Canis lupus familiaris: one gene and its partner. The protein of the gene in region 1 interacts with the protein of each later gene in a pairwise test. Links are inferred from orthologs where the notes say so. Each region holds a gene or a part of one and is shown in the gene's direction. Other genes may lie near its edges.

What was found.
Region 2: the proteins of ANKRD13A (region 1) and QDPR interact in a two-hybrid assay, tested with the Homo sapiens proteins (2 studies listed by BioGRID). The two-hybrid records come from large-scale screens. The link is inferred for Canis lupus familiaris from reciprocal best matches to the Homo sapiens genes ANKRD13A and QDPR.

The regions. Positions count from the first base shown.
Region 1 is NC_049247.1:17,499,200-17,503,008, reverse strand, and holds part of ANKRD13A (ankyrin repeat domain-containing protein 13A), read left to right. Parts: intron 1-604; coding exon 605-794; intron 795-3,809. UniProt on the Homo sapiens protein: Ubiquitin-binding protein that specifically recognizes and binds 'Lys-63'-linked ubiquitin. Does not bind 'Lys-48'-linked ubiquitin.
Region 2 is NC_049224.1:63,498,819-63,503,215, forward strand, and holds the start of QDPR (dihydropteridine reductase), read left to right. Parts: upstream 1-1,478; 5' UTR 1,479-1,504; coding exon 1,505-1,603; intron 1,604-3,691; coding exon 3,692-3,784; intron 3,785-4,397. UniProt on the Homo sapiens protein: Catalyzes the conversion of quinonoid dihydrobiopterin into tetrahydrobiopterin.

The DNA.
Region 1 (3,809 bases):
TTGACCTGCCAACATATAGTATAACACCCAATGTTCATTCCTCCAAGTGCCCCCTTCAGTGCCCGTCACCCAGTCACTCCATCCCTCCATCTACCTCCCCCCATCCATCTCCCCTTCCACTACCCCTTGTTTGTTTCCTAGGGTTAGGGGTCTCTCATGTTTTGTCACCCTCTCTGATTTTTCCCACTCATTTTGAGACTCTGTCTTATATCTCCATATATTCCCTCCATAAGAAGGCATGATCCTCCTAGTGGAGGGTGAGAAAAATGGTATTGCCAGTCCAGCGTTGTGCATAAACAGTTTACATTAATTAAGTAAATCATACATTTTTAAAAGTACACAGATGTATTGCCAACAAAGAAGGCAAATTGTTTTAAATGTCTGGAACTTAGGGGAAGATGACCTATGGGCTGTGGAAACTGGCCAGATAATCTCCATGTAAGTAGGTAGTCAATAATCAATAGTCTTTAGGTTTTATCTGATAGCACTTGGCTGGGGGGGAGGGGGGAATGTCAAAGATGATTCAGTATTTTAACTTTGAGCCTTCCTTGTTTTTGTATCTTCCTTGCATGGTGCTCAGTTACACTCTTGTTTCCATTAACAGACAACCGGGCAGAGCTGATGGAAGTCAACCATGATGACAGAGTGGTCACCACTGAGCATTTTGACCTTTCTCAGGAAATGGAGCGCCTCACTCTGGACTTGATGAAGCCAAAAGGCAGGGAAGTTGAGAGGCGGCTCACAAGCCCAGTCATTAATACCAGCCTCGATACTAAAAATATTGCTTTTGAAAGGTACGCATTAGGTTCTGCATTTTAATGTCTAATCCCTTTACTGCCATCTTTAGTGGCATATAGATATGAATTGGAAATTATGGGTGGATTGGGATTTTTCTAATATGGCATAATAAACATAGAGGGTTTTAATGTTGCTTTCTGTTCTAACCAAGTAGAAGCCATAGCTGACATCCTCTTTCATAGATCATTTTTATAACACATTGGTTAAGTCTTAGAGAAATGGCTTCATATTCTTTTATGGGCCCTTTATAATGGCTTTTACTTGAATTTTTTGTTTTGGTGTTTGGAGATCCACAGGCTCCCTAGTCCCAAACCATGCAGCTTTGAGATTCTGGAAGGTAGAATTGGCCCAGTGTTGATTGTGGTTGTACTGGCTAGTCAAATTCACATTTACCATATAGTTAAGTGTGGTCCTTTCCCTCTGTGAGGACTAACAGTTTAGAGCAAAAGTCTGGAGGTGTTTTCAGTTCTATTCCAGATTCTACCAGAAGAAGCTTCTGGAGAGGTTTGTGCCTTGGTTAACCTGGATGACAGCACTGTCTCTGGTCATCTGCCTCTGGGCATTGCAGAGGCATGGAGCACTTCTGAATGTTAATGGAAGTAGAGGCTGTCAGAGCTGTTGGCCTGAGTGTTTTTACCACAGGACACCTTGAGCTGAGGGAGTAAGAGCCCTGAGCGTTTGCCTAGGATGTCACATCCAGCTCTGTAAACCAAAGCAGCATAACCTGAGCTAACGTGGACACATATTATCCTGGATTTCGGCTTTACTCTAAATGAATGTACTGACTTTCCTCTCTTTTTCTTTTCTTGGTTTCCAGAAAATTTGTAAGAATGAGAGTTTTCTGTTGAGTCAGACATAAGACTGAAGTGCCTTTTTCTTCAGATTTAGGAATTAGGAATTAGGGCATCTATTAGTAGCAGAAGAGAAAACCAAAATGCCAGTTTGTGTGGTGTCTTGATACCACTGGTGCTTGGGGAGTGGTACCCCCAAGAGACAGGGTCATCACTGCCCCCCCCCCCCCCCCCCCGCCCCGTCACTAGCCTCCTTGCCCTGGCCTTGCCAGGTGATGGCTGTCTATTAGGAGCTGACTGTGGCTTTACCTGGGAGGGCCTGGGGAAGACCCCTGAGGCTTTGGCACATCCCTCTGTAGACAGAGCACCTTCAGCTAGGGCTCTGTGGTGAAGCTGGGAATAGAGGAGCCTCCCAACCCCGCCCCTCCCACTGCACCCCCTGCAGCCCAGCTGTGGAGATAGGGGTGGGAAGAACATGCCACTGACAGGGCTGCTGAAGTACCGTGCGGCTCTGGGAGTGGCTCAGTCTCTTCGGCTTTCAGTTTCCTTGAAGGAAAGAAAGGAGTGAATCTTGAAATGACGTTGCTAAAGTCCCCATGACCCTAAGATGTCATGAGAAGAGCTCCTGGTTCCTCTGGTTTGTTGGCAGCATTGTTTAAGTCTGTGTTTGCCAGTGTAATTTCCAAAGAGTGTGACGATTACTGGCAGCTGCCCCAGTGAGGGGGGTAGATGGTACATGAGGGCACATTCCATTTTTATGGAGGACTAAGGTACATCTGGTATTTGGTCACTAGGTCTTCAGAAGGTTCAAGCTAACCTCCTTTTGAAACCAATGGTTGGTTTTGGAGAGAGTGTTTCAGGAAGATGGCTGCTTTTTTTTTTTTTTTATGGTGCTCAGAATGCAGGCAGTCAGTGAGTTTCTTGTGCATCAAGCAAGGATTTGAGCCACTTGAGTTGTAGAAGAAGTGTGTACATATCCTTTCCACTGGTGGTGGGAGTGTGTATTTGTTTGAATTTGGAAGTTGTGCTCACTTGTGATAGTCGTTCTCCTCCATCTCTCTCCTCTGATCTGAGATTCTGATACCTGCTTCCTGCATGAGTTTTTGGCCTGCCAGTATGCACCCCCTGGCTGCAGTCTGGGCTTTTCTCTTCTCTGAAAGATTATGCTCTGCCAGACTTAAACAGAATGTTCCCTGTCACCCTCAGAGCCTTTCTCTGAATTGCTCAGTAGCCTGCAAGCCACAGTGCTTGCTCAGTGGCTTTTGGTATGGCAGTCTCAGTGGAGACAGGCAGAGGTAAAAATGGCAGAGGGGGAGCTAGGTGTACTGTCATTTTCAGATGTCTCTGCCTGTAAAGTTAATCAAGGGCCAAGGAGTTATAGAATTTGGGTTTTAAAATAGGACGCTGAATTTAATAAGCAAGCTGTCAGAATGGGAATGGAAAGGGAAGTGGAGCAGCCAGGATTGCCAGCCGAGCAGATGCAGAGGAGTGAGCTGCATGGCGGTCCCCAGGGAGAACCACACAGCTCTGCTTCCCCAGCAGGCTCGCAGGATGAAGGAGAGCAGACTGAGTCATCCTTTGGTACCTTGGAAGACTGTGTGCCAGAAAGCAGTTCTTTCCTAGGCCAAAATATCAAGTGACTTGGTGAAGGACAAGGAACTGAGGACTGACTCTGTTAACTTAAAAGGACTATCTTGATTTTCAATTATTGATGGCTAAGAGAGGACTCTGGTTTATGAATCAATGTGGACCCTAAGCCCTTTCCCCCAGGATTGCAGTTTTGTTTCTGAAAAGTGAAGTGGAAATAGCTAGCATTTGGTGTAATTCCTTTAGTGTTTCTCTCTCTCCCTCCATGGGTCATGCTGCATTAATTGTGGACAACTAATTGGAAGAGTAAAGCTCTGGTCCTTCCTTTCTCTGATGGGCTATAAACATACATGTAAAACACTGCATACCCCATCTGGACTAATGAAGGTGTTTGAAAGCATGAGATACAAATGACATGTATCTTCTTTGTGAGTTGGGCGATCTGGCAGTTCCTGGAGCTTCCTGCGTGACATCCCACTTCCTTCTGGGGTTAGAGCAGAAGGCAGACAGTTGTTCTATATGGAGCTAAGTGCAGCAGTCACAGTGGAGCTAGGATGTGATGTCCTAGACAAAAGGGCAGACCAGGCTGGTCAGGGTTCCCTTGTGAGTGGTAGTATTTCCCAGGGTGAGCTG
Region 2 (4,397 bases), on another chromosome or scaffold:
AAGTAGGGCTCTGTTAAAGATCTGGGTTAAAATTCCTATTTCTCTGGGCAAGTGCTTGAGACTCTCATGCTCAGTTTCCTAATCTGTCATGGGATTGATGGCATCCAGAGGGCACCAAATAAATGGTGTTAACCTTCTCATCGGGTCTTCTAGCAATTCTGTTCCTGATAATGAAGCTTCTGATAATAGATGGTGTTGTGGGCTGCATCCTGTTCCCTAAGAACATATTTTTGTGTGCCTTATCTGGCACAAGTGTATTGAGCAAACATCTGTGTGTCTGCTTTGTACAACACTGTATGGTGGGAGGGTGACACAAAACATGTATAATATTGCCAAAACAGTGATACAAAAATTGTAGCATACTATACTTTAAATGTTTAACACTTCACAAATCAGTGCTTTTGAAACAACAACAATAAGACCACGAAAATTATTACAAGAGTTCTAAAAAATTTGACTACACGTGGGACAGCAGGCCTTTGGTCTGGTAGAGACAGTTTAAGATGCAGGTCCTATAATAGTGTCCTTGGACCTCTGTGACTGTATATAAGACTCCATTTGACAAGAATGTTGAAGGCCCACAGTTAAGCCCCACCAAATGGTACCAACTGCCCCCACTAAAACAGCCTGGCATTTTCTTTCTCCCAAACTCACAATCTCTAAGAAGTGCAGTGATGTAACAGAAGTAGTGGCAAAAATAATAGTATTAATAATGCTCAATCGGCATTTATTGAACTCCTACTACTAGCCACACACTGTTTTTAGTATCATTTTGAAAAATCCTTTCCAAAATCCTAGGAGGACAGACCATTAGCGTTCCCATTTTACCGAGAGGCGACTGTGGCACAGAGCCGCCGAGTAAGTTGCGTAGGGACACACAGCTATTAGACAGGGAGTCGAGCTTCAGAGCTTGCACTCTTATTTATTTATTTAATTTATTTTTTAAAAAAATATTTTATTCATTTATTCATGAGAGACACACACAGAGACAGGCATAGACATAGGCAGGGGGAGAAGCAGGCTCCTCTCAGGGAGAGGATCCCCCGATGGGGGATTTGATCCCAGCACCCCGCCCTCTGCCCCGGGATCACGCCCAGAGCTAAAGGCCGACGCTCAACCGCTGAGCCACCCAGGCGTCCCTTGCACTCTTATTTGAAGGTAAAATATATGCGTGGTTTGTGCCGTCGGCCCGACGGACTCTCGGCATCGTGAGCGCACACCTGCTCTCCACCCTCCCCGGGGGCCCTTAGCTCCGCGCCCTGCAAGCCCCAGGTGCCGGGCACCCACAGGCGGGCGGCGGGGCTCGTCCGGCGGGACCGCGCGCTAGGCGGCAGCCGCGGGCCCCGCGCAGGCTTGGCGGCCGCGCGATCCCTCTTGGCCGGTGGGCGGGGCCGGGGCGGGGCCGGGCGATCCGGGGCGGGGCCGGGGCGGGGCCGGGCGACCCCGGGCGCCGCGCTCCGGCTCCGGGCGTTGGGCCTTCGGCGAGCCGGGCGGGAGCAGCGGGATGGCGGCGGCGGCGGGCGAGGCGCGCCGGGTGCTGGTGTACGGCGGCAGGGGCGCGCTGGGCTCCCGATGCGTGCAGGCGTTCCGGGCCCGCAGCTGGGTAATTGGGCCGGGTCTCCCGCGGCTGGGGCGAGCGGCACGTTGGTGTTGGGTGGCAGGTGTGCGCGCTGGTGATCGGGGAGCATCGGGGCCTGCCCGGGCAGCCCGCGAGGGCGCTGGACCGCGCTGGGGCCCGTGTGCGCACCGGCCCGAGTGCTTGCGCGTGCATCGCAGGTGTGCCTGGCTGCTGGCTGGCTCCGCGTGTGTGCCCACGCTGCGCCCGCGGTGCCCGGCCCTTGCTGTGCAAGGAGGCGGGGGATGGGGCTGCTCGCTCGGGCTCGGCCAGGCCCCGAGAGAATTCCAGAGCGCGATGGAGAGGAGCGGGCTTGAGAGTCGGGGAGAGACAACGAGGCGGCGGCTCTGGGATCTCACTGCCAGGCGCGGGCCGCTGTTGCGTCACGCCCTCGAATCTCACTTTCCTCATCCGTAAAATGGAGGTAACGTTAGTGTTTACCCCTTAGGGCATTGTGCGCCTTGAATGAGATCACTGGTGTGGTTGTAAAGCACCTGACTCGTGGTAAAAACTCTTTAAATGTCAGCCATGAGTATTACCATAACTACCCGGTTCCTGCGGTCCACTCTGGACCTGGTATTTTGAAGGCGGAGCCCCGCAAATGCTGGTGGCTTCTTGTTTTGCGAAGACTGTTTCGACTACTTTGCATCGTCAGGTGTTGCTCCCCGTAGGGTGCAAGTAGGGGTGGCGCTGACCTCTGGCCCGAGACCCTCTCTGCGATCCTGGTGGAGACTCCGCCCTGTCTCTCCTCGCCGCAGCTGTCACTTGCACAAAATGTGCTGGAGATCTGGGGAGCTTTGCCTCGGGGGTTTAGTTAGTAGCGGCAGGAACCAGGGAGACAGGGTCCCAGGGTTTCCTTCCAGCTCAGAACCTGATATAGGACTTCTAAGGGATTCTCAGCACACCACCGCCTTCCTGCTCTCAACAGGCGCCTTCCAGGGTCTGAGGGGTGACAGTGGGGAACTTGTAAGGAGTGTTGGCCAGGGGCGAGGCACCGTGTTCCTACATACTCTTAATTTCATTTACTCTTCTCCAAATTTGGATATAGCAGATCCTGTTGGTATCCATGTGTTACAGATATGAGGGCTGTGAGTTCCCCTGGTGGGGGCACTTGGTAAAATCTGGCAAGCTGATTTACCTCTGACTGTCTCCCCTCCCTACCCCTTCATTTCTAGCAGCTCTGGGAGGGGCTACAACCTGGTGTATGTGTCTGTGTCCCCTGTGGCTGGTGACATGGAAGTAGTGAGTGTTCTTGAATGGAATCTGTGTTCTTCAAAGCTTGTGGTAGAGATACTTATCTCCAGGGCCTGTGGACCTTGGGGCCCTGGGAACTTTCTGAGAAAGAATTGGGTGTCACTTGTGCTTGGAGCTTTTTCAGTTAATTTTCACACTAGCCTTGTTAATTGTTAACCCCCATGAGAAAGCCACAATACTGCAGGATGAGGACCCAGAGCCATCCCTCTGTGCTCTGGGGCAGGGGTCTGAAAACTAGTCCTCCAAAGGCTGAACCTGGCCTGCCAGTACAGCTCAAGAACTAAGAATGGTTTCACATTTTTAAATGGGAGAAAAAAAAAAAAAAAAAGAATACTATTTTGTGATATGTGAAAATTACACGAAATTCACATTTCTGGAGTTTTATTGGAATATAGCCACACCCATTCATGTATCTGTATTGTCTGTGGTTGCTCTGGGGTTCCAATAGCAGATCTGAGTTTTTGCAACACAGACCGTAAAGCTAGCAGAATATTTGGCCCTTTACACCAAAGATTTTTGCAGACCCCTGGTCTAAGGGTCTCTAGAAGTGCAGGGTTTGTCTTCAGAGGTGAGAGTGGAGGAGGAAGGTGAGGTGTTTGGAGGCAGATGAGATGGGCTGGGCTGGGGCTGGGTAAGGGGTAGGCCGGCTGAAGCCAGATGTCCCTGTAAGGATCCCAAGAGGTCAGTAGTGAGATCCTTTCTCTAGCGGGTTTTCTTTTAAGCTTCTTATCTGTCTCCACTGCCCCCATTTCTGGATGTGGATCTTTAATGGAATGACAACTTATTGTCTCTTGACCAAAGCTGTTTTCTCTTTCACGCCAGTGGGTTGCCAGCATTGATGTGGTGGAGAATGAAGAGGCCAGTGCTAGCGTGGTGGTTAAAATGACAGACTCATTTACCGAGCAGGCTGACCAGGTAATTCCAGAAAGAGACCCCCCCACACACACCCAAGCACTGTAGTAGGGAGACCCTAGGAGGGGAGTGGTTTCCACTGGTGGTGTGTTCTTTTTTTTTCCAACTAGTATTTTCTGTGAAAGCCATTTGTGCTCATGGAGGGAAATTTGGAAAAAGTAAAAAAACAAAACAAAAAAGAAGATAAATTACTTGTAATCCATTTCTAGATAGCTCAATGTTCACGTTTTGGCCCATTTTCTTGTCTTTTCTATGCATGCTATATGTTTTTAGTTTTATAAGTTGAGATAATCTTGTATTTTATATTTTATGGTCAGCTTTTTTTAACTTAATTTAAATACTGCAGACCACTTAAAAAAACTCCTGTGTGTCAGCGTGTGATTTTTAATTTCCTTAGTTTCCACTTCCTGCACATGTGTTTTGCAGTTTTTCTTTTTTACCATTATCAAGAATCCTGTGGTGAACATCTTTGTTTCCATCTCTGATTATTTAGGATGCATTCTAAAAAGTGGAGCTTCCTGGTTCAAAGCATGGATACTAACAAAACAGGTTATTTTTAATTATCAAATGATATGCTAATTGTAAAACGAGAAGTCAAATAAATATTAAGTAAACT